Tamandua tetradactyla: one gene and its partners. The protein of the gene in region 3 purifies or fractionates together with the protein of the main gene of each other region. This does not show direct contact. Links are inferred from orthologs where the notes say so. Each region holds a gene or a part of one and is shown on either strand. Other genes may lie near its edges.

The links.
Region 1: the proteins of CD81 (region 3) and ITGB1 purify together in Homo sapiens (affinity purification with western blotting; 4 studies listed by BioGRID and IntAct, with this or other methods). This does not show direct contact. The link is inferred for Tamandua tetradactyla from reciprocal best matches to the Homo sapiens genes CD81 and ITGB1.
Region 2: the proteins of CD81 (region 3) and IGSF8 purify together in Homo sapiens (co-immunoprecipitation; 3 studies listed by BioGRID and IntAct, with this or other methods). This does not show direct contact. The link is inferred for Tamandua tetradactyla from reciprocal best matches to the Homo sapiens genes CD81 and IGSF8.

The regions. Positions count from the first base shown.
Region 1 is NC_135327.1:218,127,562-218,131,305, forward strand, and holds the start of ITGB1 (integrin beta-1), read left to right. Parts: upstream 1-1,517; 5' UTR 1,518-1,542; intron 1,543-3,744.
Region 2 is NC_135330.1:13,139,223-13,142,966, reverse strand, and holds the start of IGSF8 (immunoglobulin superfamily member 8), read left to right. Parts: upstream 1-1,356; 5' UTR 1,357-2,127; coding exon 2,128-2,218; intron 2,219-3,568; coding exon 3,569-3,744. UniProt on the Homo sapiens protein: Member of the immunoglobulin superfamily (IgSF) that links tetraspanin-enriched microdomains to the actin cytoskeleton and plays several important roles in innate and adaptive immunity.
Region 3 is NC_135335.1:2,268,399-2,272,142, reverse strand, and holds the start of CD81 (CD81 antigen), read right to left. Parts: upstream 2,766-3,744; 5' UTR 2,712-2,765; coding exon 2,646-2,711; intron 1-2,645. UniProt on the Homo sapiens protein: Structural component of specialized membrane microdomains known as tetraspanin-enriched microdomains (TERMs), which act as platforms for receptor clustering and signaling.

The DNA of each region.
Region 1 (3,744 bases), on a different chromosome or scaffold from region 3:
AGAACTGACATGGCCAGGCAGGCGGCACAACCACAAGTCCTGATGATTATCAGTTGCCTGGCCACTCCCTACAATATGAGCCAGTGTCTGTCCTCTAAGAGAATATCTGAAAATAAAGCAGCATTTAGTGTACGGCTTGAGAGTTCCCTCCGCACGGGACGGCTGCGGCAGTGTGCCAGGAGGACCACCCGTCAAGGATGGGAGGCCCCAGCCCAGCTCTGCCACTGGCTCACTTTCTGGGAGACAAGGGCACGTCCGGCAAATGCTCTGGGTCTCTGGGTCCTCATTCCTAACAGCAAGAACAATAGGAGCCCATCTGCCTTGCAGAATGGAGGAGAGGATGAAGAAATCCAATCCAAAAGTATGCACTGGGCTCACAGTGTCCCCAGAAGCATAGGTGAGTAGGTGGGGGTGGGGGGCGAGACGGAAGTGGGTAAGAAGTAGGGTCTGGCCTGGACCATTTCACAATCTATTTGGGAGGAGAGAGGGCATGTGAAATAATGGCAAACCATGTGACAGTATCTGGGCAAGCACTCAGCTATGAACTATAACCTACAATTCCTCCAGGACTTGACAGCAAGGGAGGGTGCCAGGGATCCTGAAGGGGGAGGAGGGTTTGGTTTGGCAAAGGAGGGAAGAAGGACAGATATTCCTCGCGAGAGCAGGTAGGTTGATGGAAACCTGAAGACAGCAATGAGCAGGGCTTGTTCATGAGGTAGGCAGAAAGCTCAAGAAGAGCCGTGCAAAGTTAAATACAAACGAAAAAAAAAGAAGAGCCATGGGAAATGATTGTAGAGGTCGGATGAAACCAGAAAGAGGCAACAATGAGACCAGACAGAGGAGGTGATCCAGGAACAAAAAGAAACTTTATTTTCTCTTTATTTCCTTATTTCTCATCCACAGGGTTCCAGGAGGTTTTCAAGGTGTGTAAGGAAGGTCAGTCTGGCAGTAGCATGAAAGCTGTTCAGATGACCCGCTGTGTCCAATTCGTCAAAAGTGTTTGAACCAGAGTGACTACGAGAACGTCTTCTCTGTTTGAAAGATGAATTTTACACTGATACATTTTTTTTTTTTTGCTTTTCTCTATTGGGGAGTCACGTCAAGAGCATTCTGAATGCAGTTGACTTTTAATAACTACTGTGATATTTTTACACTGTGCAGTTACTCACGAAGCCTGTATTTTGAGTGTAGTTTTCTTGATTCTTCTCATTTAGATAGGACATCCATTTCTGCTCTACATTTAGCAATAAATGTTCGACATTGGGTCCCCTTAATTGTTTTTTACACGTGAAGCTCTGAAGCTGGGAAGGCAGAAGTGGTTGTAGAGTTCATCCATCCTTATTTGAATCAATGCATTAGTTTTCTGAACTTTAGCTGTCGGTTCTTAGCCGCAAGGTGAAATTCCAGCTAAATACACTAGATGGCAGGCAATAACTACATTCTGCTCATTCCATTCTATATTAAAACAACAACAAAAAAACGAAAGCCTCAATATGGAAAACTAAGCACAGCGACCCACAGTCTTTTGTCCCCTGACCTCAGGTAAGAAAACTCAAATTTTTATGCCCAGCATCTGTCTGCACCGCACTGAAAAAGTGGGGGGCATATTTTCAGACTATTAAGACGGTAGTCTCCTTTTTTCTTTTTTTGTTTGCTTGTTTTCATGGGATTTTTTGTTGTTATTGTTTAATTGATTTTCTCTTTAGTGTTTTGTCCAAGGTAGAAAAGAAACCCAGAAATGTGGAGGGAACAGATAATGAAAGTGGAGATGATGGCATTATGAAGTGAGATTATACTGACTATAATGCACTAATTTTTTGTTTTTACAAGGTAGGGGTAGGTACATTGGGGATGAAAAAGGCAGTGGGACTTGGAACTAGAAAGTGTAAGGTATGATTAGGATGACTAGCAATGGCTAAAAGCCACACAGCATGATCACCAAAGAACCCTTGACAGGATCCCAGAAATCTCCTGGCAGTCCAGGGCTCAGAAACGCTACTAAAAGTTACTTTAAACATCTACTTTATGCCTCTGTATAGGACCATACTTAAATCAGATTAGTAGGGAAAAGCCCAAATTACACTTCAAACCTGCCTCCAATATTGAATTGCTTTGCATCGTGGATTATTATTTGTTTTAAATAACAAATCCACTGAGTGCCTATTTTGTGCACCATGCTCTACAGTGAGTTCCCTTATATTGAAGTAATAGAAATGTAATAACTATCATCTCCACCCTAAAGGAGTCTAAAACCTATGAAGCCCGTGAGACTTCTGCATATTTTTAATATTCTAACAATAGTCAATGTCCTTCTATTCATTCTCCAGTTATATTTCGAAAGTATCATAGTTTTATTTGAGCATGAAATTTGGGTGATATTCCGTTAACAATTCCCCTGATAAAGTCTCTGATATTTTTACACATCTAGTTTGAAATGTCACCAAGAAAGCTATCCATTTAAAGCTAGTTAGATCCTATTCCAAAGATTTCTTATTTCTGCACATTTCCTTAAATCTCTGGTCATTCCGAATAACCTGGAGGTTTTGAATGGCCATCTTCGCTAGGAAAAAACTGATGGATTTATTTAGAGTTATGTTTCTGCAAGATAGGCCATTGTATAGGTTTGCTCTCTCCCCGGAACTTCCTCTCCTCGTCGCGCTCTCCATATTTAAAGTGGGATGAACTGTTCCTTTGCGTAACAGCAGGCAGCGTTGGGTCCTAATAAACGAATCGCCGAGGGGCAGCATAGCGTGGTGGGCGCCCACTGCCCCTGCCATCCGCCCCATTCAGTGGCGCCTCGCTTGCTTGCTCTGTTTAAGTGCAGCCCAGCTCCTCGCAGTTTTGGGGACAATCACACGTGGTAGCGAAGCAGGGCTTCGGAGAACAGCCGCGGGACTACAGCGAGGGAGACCGCGCCGGCTGCGAGGCGGAGCCAGGCGGGCTGCTGGGCGGAGCTAGGCGGCGTTCCCGGGCTAAGCTGCCACGTCTCCCAGGCCGCGGCCACCCCCCTTCCCCCTTTCTGGGTCCCGGGGTCCGGCGAGGGAGGGAGGGGAGACCACTCTGTGAAGATCACGTCTTCCCTTAGGGGCTGAGTAAAAGCACCCTGAGGATGCAACCGCCTTAATCATTGCCTTTCACCATTTTCAGGACAGAAACTATAGCGGCCGCCAGGGGTATAAGGTTTTTGTTAGTGAAATTTCACTTTCCGGTGTTCCCGGGGAAGCCAGGCTTCTGTGTGAGCCCCATGACCATATATAGGTAGAAAACTGCAGGACGGGGGGATAAAAAAAAAAAAAAAAAAAAAAAAAAAGAGGACCCGAGGAGCAGCCTGAGTCAGTTGCCTTAAGGATGAGTGATTTTTGCAAGGGTGAGGATGAAATGCGCCTTCAACATACTTTGTTGCTAGCAGGGTTGAGTCTGCAGATGAATCAAGAGACAAATCAGAAAAAGGAAGTGTCGCAAATGCCAGCACACTCACGGAAATCCGAAGGCATAAGAGGTGTTAAACAGTTATTAAAATTCTGGAAGACTGATGAAAGACAGGCATTCCTCAAGCTGGAGGGATTTTTTTTTAAATAACTTACTGTCTGTTTCTATATTTACTTATTTTTTATTTCAAGAAAACAAAAAAAATATGCCGATAGAAACAAACTACCTTAGGATCTAGCACAAAATCTCTGAATCAGAAGCATTGTAGGTTAAAGAAATGCGAATATGGGTTCTAGGCATGAGGTGACCTTGCTG
Region 2 (3,744 bases), on a different chromosome or scaffold from region 3:
CTCGCAGGGAAAGGCCGACAGGTGCGGGGTTGGGGGGATGCCCCCTGTGCGGGGCGGGTGTGAATGTGTTTGAGCCGAGGTGCCGCCAGCTCTGCCGGGCTGCAGCGGTAGCCGGGGCCTGAGGCTGGACTGGGCGGGGCAGAGGGCGGAGCCTGAGATGGGGCGGGGGCGGGGCGGGGCGGGGCCGGACGGAGGGGGCGGGGCCGGGCGGGAAGCGTCTCCGGGAGTTGCGGAGGGCGGGAGGGAAAGCAGTGGGAGGAGGAGGAGAGGAGGGGAGGAGGAAGGCGGCTTGGCCTCTGCCGCTCGGCTCGGCTTAGCTCACCCACGCCTCGCTGCTCTGCTTCGTGCCCCCCACCTGGGCATGCGCCCCCCGCGCCCCCGGTCCCCCCGAGCCTGCGCCGCCCCCCGGAGCCTCCCCAGAGCCGACCGCGCAGAATGGGCGCCCTCGGCCCCACGCAGCTACCCCCGCCGCCGCCGCTGCTGCTGTTGCTGTTAATGCTGGGTAAGCCGGGCCCCTGGCACCAGCTCGCCGGGCAGGTGCCTGCCAACGGCAGCCAGCCCGGCCCACCCTTCCAGCGTTTCCCCTCGCACCCGCTTTCTCCGTCGGAACACCTCCGGCCTCCCGGGGTTCAGTGCCCAGCTGCGCTGTGTGGCCGCCCGCTGAGGCAGTCTTGGGGAGGGTGAGAGCACCCCAGCTCTAGGCCCTGGGGCTGGGGCGCAGCGAGGACCCCCCCCAAAGTGCCGTCCCGAGGCAGCACCAGGCCTCCGGGGACCAGGCCCCACTTCTCAGCCGGCCTACCCAGGCCCTGGAATCTCTGTCCCCAGCTCAGCTTCAGGCGTGGCCTTGGGTGCTCGCCCTGTGTGGTGCCGGCCTATCTTCATAATTGCCCCCGAGTTAGCTGGAGGCCCCGGGGCTGGCTCTGCCCATGATCTTTGAATAAGTCCCCTAATTGACCCCCTCCCCACTTCATTATCTCAGATTGGGGCCAGTCCCCTCTCTCACCCCCTCTGCCCTGCACTGGGTCTCTCTTTGCCCCTCTTCCCCTCTCCCAGATGCCACTTGGTTTTGCAGCCCCTAGCTGGTCATCACACCCCTTAAAGTCTCAGCCTCCCGGCCTCAGAACCCAGGTCCCATGGAGACTGATCCTGGGCTCTCCAAGCACCCTATCTATTGTGGTGGGGTGTTTATGGTGGGATGTTCTGGACCACCCCTGAGTGGCAGCATGGAGGTAGTGACAGTGGGGTTGCTTTGGCCTGAACTGGAGGGCTCCCTGTAGGAGGTGAACTGGGGGAGGAGTGTGGCATCATGAGGGTGAGGGGTGGGGTGTTGGTAGCGGTGGCTCCGGTGGCAGGATTTGGAGCTGCCCTAGTCGAGGCAGACACCTAGCCCCAGCTGCCTTTTCCTAGTTCAGAGCTCCACAGCAGCCCTAAGCTGAGTATCCACCTGTCACATAGGGCCGTGGGCCCTCCATGGCAAAGAGGAGTCCTCTCCATGGAGCTCTGGGACCAAAGGCAGGAGGGTGTACAGAAAGGAAGGCGCTGCGGGGCCCTGTTGCCTAGCACAGATATCGTTTTTTCCCAGTGGGCAGTACAGTACAAAGAGGAGCCCAAGGGAGGTGGGGAAGTGTGATACAGAGAGATGGAAGAGGAGCCGGCCCAGCCCTGCGCATCCACCACATATGGCGCTGACATTCATTTCACAAATGGCGTCATTTCACCAATAAGGAAAATGTAACTTGCCCCACATACCATACCTAGTGAGAGCTGGAGTCAAATTTGAACTCAAATCAGTCTCTCCAGAGCAGGCCTCTTTGTTCTCCCTCCCCTCTCCTTGGTGGAGGAGAGGAGGGGACTTGGCTGGAGAGAGAGAACTACATGTGGCAGCTGGATTTCCTAAGGCTATGGGGGTGACTTTCCCATGGGGATCTCCAGGCATCAGCAGTTGTGGAGCCAGGAAGGTGGGAGGGAACCTTTCTGAGCAGAGTCTGCCCTAAGGCACTGGCCGGGGAAGTTATCAGCTCGGCAGTCTCTGCCCATCACCCTGATTATGAAACGTGCCTCAGGCAGGGCCCTCCTGAGTCACACACTCACTCACTCTCTGAGCTGGAGGCTCTCTGCTCTTCTCCGATGTGGAAACTGAGGCCTGGCAAAGGAAGGGACTGGCCTCAGACCATCCAGCTGGAGTCCCAATTCCCAGCCTCTGCTCAACCAACCAACCGTGAGTTTGCCCCAGTGACTCAGCCACAGGAAGAAGGAGCCAGCAGGCTGGCTGGGGTAGGAGAGGAAGTCAGGAGGAGCTGCTCTGGGTGGCGGAGTTTGACCACAGACTCGTGGCATTGCCCTCCATCCCCTGCAGAAAGGCCATGGGTAACCCCCTGGAAGGCCTGGAAATGAGACCAGTGGTGAGGTCAGTCCCCTCAGACGTCGCCTTGGAGTCTCCCCTTTTACCTCCCTGGACGGGCCTGTCGAAGTCACCCAGGGGCCCTAGGATCTTGGCCCAAACTATATAGTTCTCTTTCCTTACCTTTCACATCTGTAAAATGGGGGAAGGAGGCTGACCTTACATTCTGGGTTTCTGTGATCCTCTCTAGTGGGGGCTATGGAAGGATGGTAAGACAGGAAAAAGAACCTGAGCCCTCCAAGGCTGCCAGGACTTTCTGCCGGGGCTGGGTAGAATGTGGAGATGGAGTTAGGGTACAGATGCAGGGTTTGGCCCCTCTGGGGAGACAGATGCCTGTCTACAGAAAGGAAGCCATATGTGAGTGAATGCCCACTCTATGCAAATGTAGGCTTCCTTAGAGAGTTGAGGGGTGGGGGTGGGGGGTTGCCTTGTGCAGCTGGGCCAGCCTGCAAGGTTGGCAGTTGCTGGGGAGGGGATCGTCTGCCCCTGGAGGCCAGGGCAGAACCTATTTCTTGCCCCAGAAGCCCCAGATGTCTCAGCAGCCCTGTGGGGCGGGAGAAACAGTGAGCTCATGGCACAGCTGGAGGGGGAGGGCATTGTGTGCCAAGAGAATTGACTGGGTCTGTGCCCTGTCTCGGCTTGGGCCGCTGGCTCCATTGTCTGGAGTCTCTTGGCCCAGGTGACACAGTTGAGTCAACCAGCCCTTTTGAGCAAGAGTTTGTCAGCTCCCTTCAAGCAAGGGAGGGGAGACAGGTGGTCTCAGAATTCCTTAGCCAGAAGGCTCCTCTGACCAAGCTCTGGTGGAGTAATGGCAGACACTGGGGGAAGAGGGGAAGTAGGGAGTAGAAGTGGGAGGTCGGGGGTAGGCATAGATAGGTATAGTTGGAATTGCTAAGTCAATATCAAAGCTTCCCTTTCTGCCCTTAGGGACTCCGCTTCTTGTCTTCCAGAAATGGGTTTTGAGGCAAGATTGGGCCTGTACCCCTTTCTTGAGACCTAGGTGTCTTACCTCCCAGCATCCTTTCCCTGCTGTCAGAACAGGACCTAAGCTGTCTGCCAGTTACCCTCAGGTTTCTTTGCATTCATGGGCAGGGGTCAAGAATGGGTTGGCAGTGGTGGGGCTAGAATGGTGACCCAGGCACCCCCTTCTCCTGCCCTGCCCTACAGGAGTTGGATGCTCTGCCCGGGAGGTGCTAGTCCCCGAGGGACCCTTGTACCGCGTGGCTGGCACAGCTGTCTCCATCTCCTGCAATGTCAGTGGCTACGAGGGCCCTGCCCAGCAGGACTTCGAGTGGTTCCTGTACAGGCCCGAGGCCCCAGAGGCCGCACTGGGCATTGTCAGC
Region 3 (3,744 bases):
GCTCTCCCCAGGGTGGGATTTCAGCCTGGAAACTGAAAGCGTGGGGGGCCTGGGGGTCCATCTCCCCATGTGGGCTTAGAAGTTGTCAGGAGACAGGGAAGTCAATTTACAGAGTGACCACACAGGGGTGGGCAAGGGTGAGACCTGAGGGATCAAAGCGGGGGAGTGTCTCACATGCTGCCTGGGGAGGGTGGGAGAGGGGCTGGCCTCAGCCAGCACCCACAGGGTCCCCGGGGCCCAAGCTAGCACCCATGGGGTCCCCGGGTTCCCCCGTGCCTGAGTCCTGCGCAATCTGGAGGGTGTAAGCACCCACGGGCCAAGCATCCTCGGCTGCGGCCAGCCCGTCTTGGACAAACCACAGATATGCTCCTACCAGCCAGCCTGAGAGCAGCTCCCCAGTGCCCAGGGGAACTGGGGGTAAAACAGGCACGAGGGAATCCCCGCCCCGCCCTTGGGTGCCAGCTGTCTCCACCAGGAAGCTCCTGACCCATGCTGAGAACAGGTTTTGCACACTGCCTGGGTCTTGGCCGGAGGAGGAAGGCAAGTGAGAGCGAGCGAGTGTCCATGTAGGGGCACCTGGGCCAGGATAGAGTGGAAGAGCCATGTCACGTGGGATGGCCCCCAGGCACTGCCACACTGACCCATCATGGCTGCTGCCCTGCTGGCCATCACATCCAACGCCCATCTCCTGCCCCCCCACCCTGTGCCAAGTCACCAACAACCCCGGGAAATGGGACCCCTAGGACAGGGCAGGAAGCCAAGGCCGGACTCCACCCAGCTCCCACTCCAAGTGGTTCAGGGGCTCGGCCAGCCCCACCCTACTCTGTTCTGCATCCCCCCCCCAGGGCCCAGGGGGTGGGTGGGTGCTCCTGTGTCTCAAAGTGCTTGGATAGGTGGCCCACCAGCTCCCGCACAGGGCAGAGAGGCTCAGCTCAGAAGCCGTTCCTGGAGCCTCGATAATAAAGAGCAGCCCCCCCGGGGACTCGTTAGACTGCCACCCCTGCGGGGGGGAGGGGGGAAACAACGGCCGACTGGCCCAGCTCCCAGGGGAGGTGCGGGAGGGACTCGCCCAGCAGGGTCCCAGGAGGCAGGAACACAAGTCCCTTCCCTGTGCCTGTGCCTCCCTTCCAACCAGGGTCGACACCCCCAAATCCAAGCAGAGACGCCACTGGGACATCCCATATCAGTCTCCTGGGGCCAAGGCAGGCAGACTTTAAACATGCTGAAGCCAGCACTCCAGGACCCCCAGCTGGGAACTCCCACCCAGCCCTGGCCAGAGGGACCCCGTGCCCTCCTGCAGTATAGCCCAGCTTGGAGAAGGACAGCACGACCCCTCTCTTGGGTGCTCAGTCCAGTCTCTGTCCCCCCACCCCCCTCCCAAATACCTCACTGCCCCCGCAAGCATCCTCAGTGTCCAGATGGGAAACAGATGTGCCAGGCCCAAACGCGCCTGCCTGGGGGACATCTGCAAGTTTACCCTGCTGGACTCCACAAAGATGCGGGCCACTGTCCCCTGTGAGAGAGGGAGTTCATGCCCGGGATGGAGGGGCAGCAAGGGAAGGGACCCGCGGTCAGGCCAGCCCCCCACCAGCAACCTCCCTGCCCCCAGTCCTGAAGGAGTCTCCCTCTGCTCCCAGATTCCAGGGCTAACGGGAAATGGAAACAAAAGGAAAAGCGCACCCCCGGGGAATTCCCAGCAGTTCAGGCAGGGCAGAAGAAAGCAGCTCCTCCAGGGAGACTCTCCAGTCCCCCAAAAATTCATCATCAGAGGTGACCACAGCATGGGTCCCTCTTCCCAGAAGGCAAGCTCTCGCCCAGGACTTGGGTACTGGTGCCGGGACCCTGTCTTGAGCCCACTCGGGACGCCGGCCCCCCCTCCCCTCCACGGCAGTCCCTCCCCCTCCCCCACACCCACTCCAGGGTGCATGGGAGACAAGGCCAGGGCTGAGGTCCCACGACGGATGGGCAGACGAGGCGGGGGCAGGCACCCCAACACGCAGACACGCCTGAGCCAAGCCCACTGCTTTCCTGACCCCAGGATTCAGAAGCGGTCACAGCGGTTGGAGGCTGGGCTGGAGGGGGGGCTGTGGACGGTCCCAAAGCCTGGGCCAGTGGGCCGACGCAGGGGCGGTGGCCCCGATGAGCTCATGGGGGCGGGGCGCCAAGAGCCCCGCCCCAGCCCCCTCCCGCCCCCCTAAGTAGGGTGGTCCCGGGATCAGCCGCTCGGGAGAGCGGGCTGCGGCCGTCCCCCACCGAGGGGTGCCCGCGCGCGCGGCCTCGGGTCCCGCAGCCCCCACTCCAGTCCCTCATGTGGGGATCGGCGGCTCCGAGCGCCGACGTCACCCCCCCCCAGGGCCCCCCAAATGCCCCGGCCCGGCCGCGCGGCCCGGAGCCCCTGACGCACAGAGGCCCGGGCGTCCCGTAACCCCGCGCCGACCCCGCGGGCAGGGGCGCAGCGACCACGGGCGAGCCCCCGCGCCCCGGGCACGCAGGCCGGGCGCCCACAGGTGGCCCCGCAACTTGGCGGGCCGCGGCCGGGCTGCGCCGCCGCCTGCGCTCGGGCCTAGCCGGGGCCCGGCCTGCGGGAGTCCGGGGCGTCCCCGCAGGAACCACCCCGCCCCCCGACCTCCGGCGGCGCCGCTTACCCAGAAGACGAAATTGAAGACGAAGAGCAGGTACTTGATGCACTTGGTGCAGCCTTCCACCCCCATGGCGGCGGGAGCGGCGGGGGCCGGGCCTGGGCGGCGGGCGGGGGCGCCGAGGGGCCGGGGGGAGGCCGGGGGTCAGGGACGCGGCGCGGGGGGCGCGGGGGGGGCGCGGGAGGCCTGGTCGGTGCGCGCTCGGGTCGCCGCGGCCGCTGCTGCTGCTGCGCGCTCGCTCTCTGGCCGTGCGCGCGCCCCGCTCCGCGCCTCTTATAGGACGCACGAGGCCCCGCCCCTTCCCCGCCCCCCGCCCCGCCCGCTGCCCGCAGCGGCCCGAGCGCGCGGGGCCGCCGGGAGTCCAGAGTCGGGCCCGCGCGCGGCGTGGGGGGTGGGAGTGCGGGCAGTCCATTGGTGTCCCCACGGGGTTCCCGCAGACCAGCGCGGGCTGGCTGGGAGGTCTGGGCCGGCGGGAGGACGGTCAAGCAGGCTGTGCTTCCCCTCATCCCCTGGGAGGGGCCGGAGCCCCCCGGGGCGCCAGGCCCCACTTCCCGCTGTGGTCCCCAAAGCCTGGTGGCCAGGCCCCCGCCCCCGCCGGCTTGGGGCAGTGAGGAAGGGAGACCCATGGGGACGGTGTGGGGGTGGGTGACCCACAGATGAAGTTTCTGCCCATTCTTGCCCAGAGAAACAGGGAGGGCCAGGCAGAGCCCACTCACGGTTCGCCCCACCCTCCGGACCACAGAGCCACCCTTTAGGAGCTACCCCACCCCACCCGCCACTCCCGCAGCTGCCATAGCCGAAAGCCCTGTGTCTGCCTGACACCTGGCTGTTTGTGACCTTTGAGCCGGTGAAGTGTGGCTGGTGCCTCTGAGAACTGCATTTTTAATAGAATTTAGGGGTAGCTGAAATTCGGATAACCAGCCATCAGTCTCAGCTGCTTCTACTTAATTCTGTCGTCTTCTCTGGTTAATTTGTAAATCTGTGTTGGTTTTGTACTTGGACAAGAGCTGCAAGCGTGAGTTTAGAGCTAGTTTTTTGTGCCTATCTATGTGACGTGATAATAAAAGTAAGTCTTCCCCGGGGTCAGGGAGTGTTTGTTTCACTT